Linked DNA regions of Saccharomyces cerevisiae S288C. Each later gene encodes a partner of the first gene's protein in a complex. Each region holds a gene or a part of one and is shown on either strand. Other genes may lie near its edges. The genes, in order: SMD3, PRP4 and SME1.

Region 1 (2,616 bases):
GATGGCTTTCCAAAAATTTCGTTAGTTCATTCGATTTCTCCTTGAGATTCAGGTTCCAGTTTAGCAAATTGTCTTCATCAGTAGAAGCTGGCTTAGTTGTGTTTATCTTTAATTCAATATCATTCAATTGTTTCATAAAATTCCAAATAATCCAACTCGACAAGACGACTTGAGTTGATTTCCAGGGAACGTTATCCAACTGTTTTATCAATATTACGTTCAAATCGTTGTAATCTTTTATTTGGAGAAAATTCAATGCGATTTCCCCAAAGTGTGACAAGTCCTTCATGCTTCCCAAAGTTTGAGCCGCGGAATGAAAATCTTTAGCAGTGTGGAAAAGGTACATTGCCTTTGAAAGTTTTACAGATTCTATTTCCCTCACCGTCAAGCCTTTCAACGATAGGGCCTTGTCAAATTTGTTATCCCGAACTAATAAATTCCATACCGAATTAGGCTCATTTTCGATAATAATTTCAAAGACGTTGATGTTTGAGAAACACCAAAACGTTTCTTTCACCGAATCTCTTACTAGGCCTAAAAATTTCTCATTACTATCAGTGTTGGAGCCAGTCAACTGGTGTCTCGGTATAGTTTCATGAAACACTACGTCGTTATTTAATTGACTCACCATTGTTACCGTATTTTTTCTCAAAAGCAGGATGTGGAAAGCAGTCAAAACTATATCCTTGATGAGGTGATCTTTATCATTCTGGTAGTCAGGCAGTTCGAAATTGAGTAGAACCTTCGACGAAGATAGGAATTTTCCAAAATTATTAGAAGCAGGATCTTTTTCCATTTGCTTTTCTTTTAAATCACCAAAGACAATTCCATTGGATGTGACCCAAGCAAAGAGTCCATTGTACGAATCGAATTTCTTTATCGCATGATGTTTTAACCTTTCAAATTGCTCAGATTCATCTGGTAATACTAAAGGAAATTTCATATTTGTCACGTCTCTCCAGTATAAAATGTTGTCTTTTATAGTTAATAGCAGAGAGCCCTCCCAATACGCAATGCCATCAATTCCACCAGAGAGTTTCTTGTTTTCATACCATAGCTTCGTGGTTATATCCTTTCCTGTCAATTCAACTCGGTACAACTTGGGCGTCTTCTTGATTCCCATCAGAAAGGTGGTTTCGTTGATCCAATGTAGCGAGCTGAGGTCGAGATTTTTTATTTTGTTCAATTGAGTGAATTCGCCATCCTTTAGCAACATATACCGGCCAAAGTTGGTTCGAATAAGAATGACACTACCCATTGGTGAAACATGAACATTCATTATAGTTTCTAGTTCCTTGCTTAATGGACAGTCAAAGTGATTGACGATGGCCGGATCTTGTAAATTTATTCTGTAAATTGTCCGTTGTGTCGTTACTATAAGTTGATCATTGGAGACTTTCAAATGCGTAAGTTCGGTATTCCCTGTGAGGAATTGTAACTGAACTTCCTCTATACGTGTTTTTATCATTATATCCCTATATTTCTCTTTTTACTTCTTGGTACCTTATAGTTTTTACTTTTCTAGGGATGGCAGCTTCTTATTTCTTTCGTTCTATAGATTTGATATTTTTGAAATCGTTAAAAAATTCTTATAAGAGCAATACGAAGAGAATCAGAAAGCGCTGCGAGGCACGTATCAGAAACAATGACTATGAATGGAATACCAGTGAAATTATTAAATGAGGCACAGGGACATATCGTTTCTCTGGAGCTAACAACGGGAGCGACTTATCGTGGTAAACTTGTTGAAAGCGAAGATAGCATGAACGTACAGCTAAGAGATGTAATAGCTACAGAGCCCCAGGGGGCTGTAACACACATGGATCAAATATTCGTACGTGGGTCACAGATCAAATTTATCGTTGTTCCAGATCTCTTAAAGAATGCACCATTATTCAAAAAAAACTCATCAAGACCTATGCCACCAATAAGAGGACCTAAGAGAAGGTGATAATAGGAAACGTGACGGCAGAAACGCATTCATCATTGTAGGGGGAATATATATATATATTAATATTGTTTATGTAAAATATATTTGAATATAAATTTATCAGTTCGCACTGTTCGTGGTTGAATCCGCTGTTGTAGATGATTCCTTTATTTGTTCAAACTCGTTAAGATCGCAGCGAATTTGAGAATTCGTATCCCGCAACTGAGCAAATAACTGTTGTATTTCATTTTGCAACATCCGGGCATGCTCTACTGACGCTGTAGTCTTTTTTTTCTCTTCAGTGTCCATGGCTACTTCGAGCTTCTCTTTATTGCTAGATCCTTTTTAAGGTTATCTCAAAATTTTTCAAGTTGCTGCTGATTTTAGTTAAAAATAAAATATCAAAACGCCGATGAGACAGGCAGGATAAAGTGACAGATTCAGTTATACATTATGGTTAATAATTCACAGCATCCTTACATCAAAGATGGATGGTTTAGAGAGATTAATGATAAAAGTTTTCCGGGCCAGGCCTTTACTATGACCGTGGACTCAATACTTTATGAAGCCCGCAGTGAATTTCAGGACATCTTAATCTTCCGTAACAAGGTATACGGTACTGTTTTGGTCCTCGATGGTATTGTCCAATGTACGGAATTTGATGAGTTTGCCTATCAAGAGATGAT
Region 2 (3,765 bases), on another chromosome or scaffold:
GATCTAAACGAGGAGTTAGTGGGACAGTTATCGAAGACGATGGACAACTTGGAAAACTTAACAATTCCACGAGTTCGTACTCAAAATGGTAACACAAAAAAAAAATCCAGGGCAAAAAAACCAGGAAATGTATAATTAAATAAATAATGCAGTGTTAATAAAACGTTAGTTTCAAAAATACTAAATACATTTCTTTACACAATCAATTCCAGAGCTTGATAGACCTATCCCATCCGCCGCTCACTAAAAAATGAGAATTATTCGAAATATCCAAGCTAATAATTTTATCAGTGTGGCCTGCTAAACTTCCCATTTTTAACCACGTATCACTACTATACACATTGATCAAATTATCATAGCCACAAGAGACAAGTTTCTTTCCGCCGTCTTCCTTTGAAAACCTTACCTGCGTAACGATGTTACGATGCGCCAATATTTGATTTAGTTGGCCTTCATCCCGTTTTCTGATGTCCCAAACATTAATGATTCCATCACCACCACCAGTGGCTACTTGATACCCGTTTGGTGACCAAGCTACGGTGTAAATAGGCTTTGAGTGTCCTGCGAGTGTCATCACCTTACTTCCGGATCTTATATCCCATAGCATTGAAAGCGAGTCCATGCCACCGCTACAAACAAGAGATCCATCGCATTGAAAAGACAGACTAAACACTCCCTTATCATGGCCTTCTTGTAGCAGCAGTTCTTGATGTGTTGACGCATCCCAAAGTCTCCAAGTCATATCATGAGAGGCACTACCTATAAATTTGCCACTAGGGTGGTATTTCACATCAGAAATACGTCTTTCATGTCCCACAAGATCTCCCAATAATCGAAGGCCGCCCTCTTCGTTTGAGTATTGAAAGTTTTTGATGAGCCCGTCTTCTGCGCATGAAATCATTTGATTGTTTGAATCAGGATGCCAATCTATAGCTCCGATTTTCCCTACATGAGAGTCGAGTTTTTGTGTCAATGGCTGCAGTGTTTGAGAATTTAATACCTGAAGATCACCTGCCCAGCTTCCCGTTGCGACAACCATGTCATCGGTAGATAAAGAAACTGCGGAAATAGGCTTCGTAGATACTAATTGAGAGCCAGCAAGCTCTAAATTAGCCATACGCTGTAATTCTGTACGCCGACTGAGTAATTCCTGTCTTGTATTGAACTTTTGATGTCTTTCCATCTCTTTCTGTAGCCTCTTTCGAGATCTTTCAAGTGAATAATTTATCAAAAATCTTCTCGCAAAAATGAGCTCAGATGTTGCTGGAGTGAAGAAGTCCTCATCGTCCTCTTCGTCTACTTCTTCCCCATTTATGTTTTCCATGTTATTAATGTTCTCAAGATCAATTTCATCAACCATTAAAATTTCAGCCAACCGTATTCTTCTTTGTTGTACATCTTCATTCTCCACTACTTCCGGCTTCTTTAAAATTGAAAGCAATCGTCTCACCTCAAGATCTTCTTCTGGTATCTTCTCCAGGACAGCTTGTAATCGTTCATGTGGCAACTGTTTCAGTATATCAGCGGTGCTTTCATTTTGTGTAGCTCCTTTATGTTGCAAATCTACCGGAAGATTTTCAAGTGCAATATATTTACTCATATTCCGTTCAACAAGGTAATAGTACTAGTCATTTCCCTCAGGCTCGTTGCAAAGTTACGATTAGTGATCATGTAACAGCCTTTCCTTTACTAGCTCTCTACGTTTAAACATTTCCGTACTTAATGACTTCGCTTGTAATAGCGATAGTAATACCAGTAGTAAAGACAACAATTTAAGAAACTGTGTATATATATATTTCAGATACCACTACTGTTACTAATGATTCTGTTTTCTCCACTAGAAAATTGTGAACATGTCAGGATCTCTTACGCTACTTAAGGAAAAGCATATACGTTATATTGAATCATTGGATACAAAGAAGCATAATTTTGAATACTGGCTTACCGAGCATCTTCGTTTGAATGGGATATATTGGGGACTTACTGCCTTGTGTGTGCTTGATTCTCCAGAGACATTTGTGAAAGAAGAGGTTATATCATTTGTTCTGAGCTGTTGGGACGACAAATACGGCGCTTTCGCACCATTTCCAAGACATGATGCACATTTATTAACTACATTGTCCGCCGTACAGATCTTGGCCACTTATGATGCTTTGGATGTTCTTGGAAAAGATCGTAAGGTTCGCTTGATTTCCTTCATCCGTGGGAATCAATTGGAAGATGGTTCGTTCCAGGGTGACAGGTTTGGGGAGGTAGATACAAGGTTTGTTTATACAGCCTTGAGTGCACTATCAATTTTGGGTGAATTAACGTCTGAAGTTGTTGACCCTGCTGTAGACTTTGTACTCAAGTGTTATAATTTTGATGGTGGCTTTGGATTATGTCCTAATGCTGAATCCCATGCAGCTCAAGCTTTTACCTGTCTTGGCGCTTTGGCAATTGCTAACAAATTGGATATGCTTAGTGACGACCAACTAGAAGAAATTGGGTGGTGGCTTTGCGAACGACAATTACCAGAAGGTGGACTAAACGGTAGGCCAAGTAAACTGCCCGATGTTTGCTATAGTTGGTGGGTTTTATCTTCATTAGCTATTATTGGTAGACTAGATTGGATAAATTATGAGAAGCTAACTGAGTTTATACTCAAATGTCAAGATGAGAAGAAGGGTGGAATAAGCGACAGGCCTGAAAATGAAGTGGATGTCTTCCATACAGTTTTTGGTGTTGCTGGTTTAAGTTTAATGGGATACGACAATTTAGTCCCCATAGATCCCATATATTGTATGCCGAAATCCGTTACATCAAAATTCAAAAAGTATCCATACAAATAGATGGCAGAGTACCAACACTACCGTGCTTGTTTAAGTGTTCTTATTTTGATGCATTATTTAGATATATATCTCTTCTTGTATAGTTTTCTTTGAGGATGGAACGTACTCCATATACCTAGCACGTCTATTATGAATGAAACTTCCAGGGTTAATTACTTTACAACCGTTGTATGTCAAATCAAATTGTGCAGAAGTAGTGTCGCAAAGAACCATTGTCGATGGTATTGGGCAAAGTGTCAAAGTGTGGTCCAAATCCCATGAAATTGGGCGCAAGGAATCAAGAAATGGCGATAAATGACCCTGGTCTAGTATTGTTTTAACGAGTTTTCTTGTTTCTTGAACCTTTTGTGGTAACTGGTCTGGTTCTTTAACTAATTCATCGATTGGTACAATATCGGTGTCTTTAGACATCATGTTATCGTTTTCAGTATAAACATCTTCGCTCTCGTTGAATGGGAATTCCAAACGGTGTCTTTTGAATCTTCCGGATAAATCGTCCCTGAAAATGACTATTTCTTGGGATAAGTATGCTATTCTAGTTGGATTTGAGCTCCATACAACGTTTTTACAGACCTTGTTGATTTTTTTGGTAAACGCACTAGGAATTGGATCTTGCGGTAATGTCCCACTTGCCCCCAATGACACCATCGACCCCCATAAATCGTTAGGACCTGGAATAAATATCATTGTGGTATTTTCGGTCAAATTGTCAAATCTTGACAGAAGCGTCGCCAAGGCATCGAAATTATTCTTAAATTGAGTGGAACTACTTATATTCCGGCTACTCATTGATGCGAAAACGGGAACTGAAGTGAAAGAACCTTGCCAAATTAATAGGGTCGGTGGGTCATCATTTAATTTTTGCAAAATTTTGCTGAGTGCAGTCATAATTTTCAAATCATCTAGGAACAAATTTGCGCCGAGAATTACAAAT
Region 3 (2,950 bases), on another chromosome or scaffold:
AATGAATTCATCGTTACAGAATCCCAACTACTAAAGAAAATTGATAAGGTTTTTAACGATGAAACGGAGGAATTCACTGATGCCTATGATGTAACTTCTAACTTCACGCAATTTGGAAATAGAAAATTATTACTTTCAGGTAACACCACCCTACAAACCCAAATTAACAACGCAATAATGGGCTCTTTGTCAAACGAAAAGTTTTTCGATATTTCTTTAGTGGATTCATATCTGAACAAGGATTTAAAAAACATTTCCAATAAAATTGATTCCAAATTAAACCCCACCTCTAATGGAGCTGGAAATAATGGTAATAATAATAATACAACCAACTTGTAAATAACTAATATATATACTACTTCAACATGTCATGTATTCGAAAGTGCCTTAGACGCATTACAACTAAAGAAAAGAAGAAAAAAAAATCAAATCGAGAATAAATATGCCCATGTATATACGTCACTTGCGAATTGTCTATTTCTCTCGTTCCCCTTTTTCTTTCAGTCCGCTGATGTTATCAATGTGATATTATCGCCTTTCAACAGGATCTTCCCCAAGGGCGTGCCCTTCTCCACATCTTCTTTACCATCGGCACTATTCACAGGAATTTCCACGGCTTCATCGATGACAACATTCATGAACTCATCAAATCCAACTATTTTACCCTTGATTCTTATGCCGATTTGCTCGAATAACCATATCGTTACTGGTGTTTGCTGTTGTAAGAAGTTAAATATGCAATTTATTGGTGGCACCATGGCCTTGGTTTTAACTTTGTTCGACATTCCAAGCCTCTTGTTTTTCGCTCTATATCCTTCCTGTGTTCCTTAATCTCCTTTCCTTAGTATTATCTCTTACCTTTACCATCTATTATTGTTATTTCACTTCAATTTTCTATTTCTCTGTTAGATGCTCAGGCTTTCGGTATAATTGAAAAAAATTTTCGAACATAAGGGATATTGACAAAAAAATAAATGAAGGAAAAAGGCATGAAAATACTCGTTGACAGATCAGTATCAAGGATTTATTGAGGATATACTAAGGATTAACTTGCGTTATGGACAACTTACAGGTATCTGATATAGAAACTGCTTTACAATGCATATCGTCTACTGCATCTCAAGATGATAAAAACAAAGCGCTTCAATTTTTAGAACAATTCCAAAGATCAACTGTTGCCTGGTCTATTTGCAATGAAATATTGTCTAAAGAAGATCCTACAAACGCTCTTCTAGAATTAAATATTTTTGCTGCGCAAACTTTAAGGAATAAAGTCACATATGATCTATCACAATTAGAAAATAATCTACCACAATTCAAGGATTCTTTGTTGACGCTTTTATTATCGCATAACCAAAAATTGATTATTACACAACTGAATGTCGCGTTAGCACGTTTGGCGATCCAATTTTTAGAATGGCAGAATCCAATTTTCGAGATCATTTCATTGTTGAATTCTTCACCATCTATATTATTAAACTTTTTAAGAATTTTACCTGAGGAAACCTTAGACATTGCATCTACTTCCTTGACAGAAGTGGAATTCAATTCCAGAATTCATGAACTAATTGATCCGATAGCAGAAGATGTATTGAAATTCCTTGTATCATGCATAGACCTATTACAAAATACAGACGGGAATTCCAGCTCATCTATTTCATTAGAACAAATTTTACGGTGTTTGAACTCTTGGTCGTATGAATTCCCTGTTGAACAGTTGCTAACCGTACAACCCTTAATAAATCTCGTGTTTGAAACTATTTCCAATGGTAATGAAAGTGACATGGAGGCATTCGATTCCGCTATTGATTGTCTCTGCGTTATCCTCAGAGAAAGCAGAGATACTACTAATGAGCAGTTGATTTCTGCTTTATTTCATCAGTTAATGCTTTTACAAGAAAAACTATTGCCTACTCTGTTCACAGACCATCCTTTGAACGATGAATATGATGACGATCTCCTAGAAGGTATGACACGATTATTCGTAGAAGCTGGCGAGGCTTGGTCAGTTGTCATTTCTAAAAACCCCGATTTTTTTAAACCAATGGTTTTGGTATTATTGATGTTGACCTGCAAAAATGAAGACTTAGATGTCGTTTCCTATACTTTCCCCTTTTGGTTTAACTTCAAACAAAGTTTAGTTTTGCCAAGATATCAAGAATCAAGAAAAGCTTACTCTGATATTTTTGTTAAATTAATAAATGGTATAATTACTCATTTACAATATCCATCAGGCCAGTTTTCATCTAAAGAGGAAGAAGATAAATTTAAAGATTTCAGGTATCATATGGGCGATGTGTTAAAAGACTGTACTGCAGTGGTGGGAACTTCTGAGGCTTTATCGCAACCACTAATAAGAATTAAGTCCGCAATAGAAAACAACAATAGCTGGCAAATAATGGAAGCCCCATTATTTTCCCTGAGGACTATGGCTAAAGAAATTTCGTTGACTGAAAACACTATATTGCCAGAAATCATTAAAATCATTTGTAACCTTCCAGAGCAGGCCAAGATTAGGTATGCATCAACATTAGTTCTTGGTAGATATACCGAATGGACAGCCAAGCATCCAGAACTACTAGAAGTTCAATTGCAATATATTTTTAACGGTTTTCAACTGCATGAGGGTTCATCGGATATGCAAAGTATAATCACTGCATCATCACATGCATTAATGTTCTTCTGTTCGGACTGCTCTAAACTATTAGTTGGGTATATTGATCAGTTGATTAATTTCTTCCTCAACGTGCAGAGTTCGATTGATATTGAGTCACAATTTGAACTATGTCAAGGATTAAGTGCAGTAATAAATAATCAGCCAGAGGCCAAAGTTTCAGTAATATTTCAAAAGCTCGTAGATGATAATTTGCGACAAATCGAGGCTTTGATTCCTCAATGGAAAGCAAATCCAACGCTCTTGGCTCCACAGATTGCTGATAAGATTGATTTG

The links.
Region 2: SMD3 (region 1) and PRP4 share a complex: the UniProt entries of both Saccharomyces cerevisiae proteins name them as parts of the U4/U6-U5 tri-snRNP complex.
Region 3: SMD3 (region 1) and SME1 share a complex: the UniProt entries of both Saccharomyces cerevisiae proteins name them as parts of the sm core complex.

Annotation. Positions count from the first base shown.
Region 1 is NC_001144.5:433,493-436,108, reverse strand, and holds SMD3 (mRNA splicing protein SMD3), read left to right. Parts: upstream 1-1,645; coding exon 1,646-1,951; downstream 1,952-2,616. Other genes in the region: tethering complex subunit PEP3, read right to left, coding at 1-1,468; YLR146W-A (uncharacterized protein), read right to left, coding at 2,051-2,239; SPE4 (spermine synthase), read left to right, coding at 2,384-2,616. UniProt on the Saccharomyces cerevisiae protein: Plays a role in pre-mRNA splicing as a core component of the spliceosomal U1, U2, U4 and U5 small nuclear ribonucleoproteins (snRNPs), the building blocks of the spliceosome. Also binds telomerase RNA and is required for its accumulation.
Region 2 is NC_001148.4:890,167-893,931, reverse strand, and holds PRP4 (U4/U6-U5 snRNP complex subunit PRP4), read right to left. Parts: upstream 1,601-3,765; coding exon 203-1,600; downstream 1-202. Other genes in the region: HDA3 (Hda3p), read left to right, coding at 1-135; Rab geranylgeranyltransferase BET2, read left to right, coding at 1,854-2,831; DPB2 (DNA polymerase epsilon noncatalytic subunit), read right to left, coding at 2,889-3,765. UniProt on the Saccharomyces cerevisiae protein: Involved in RNA splicing. Is required for the association of U4/U6 snRNP with U5 snRNP in an early step of spliceosome assembly.
Region 3 is NC_001147.6:632,782-635,731, forward strand, and holds SME1 (mRNA splicing protein SME1), read right to left. Parts: upstream 786-2,950; coding exon 501-785; downstream 1-500. Other genes in the region: mitochondrial 37S ribosomal protein mS26 PET123, read left to right, coding at 1-339; mRNA transport regulator MTR10, read left to right, coding at 1,058-2,950. UniProt on the Saccharomyces cerevisiae protein: Involved in pre-mRNA splicing. Binds and is required for the stability of snRNA U1, U2, U4 and U5 which contain a highly conserved structural motif called the Sm binding site. Involved in cap modification.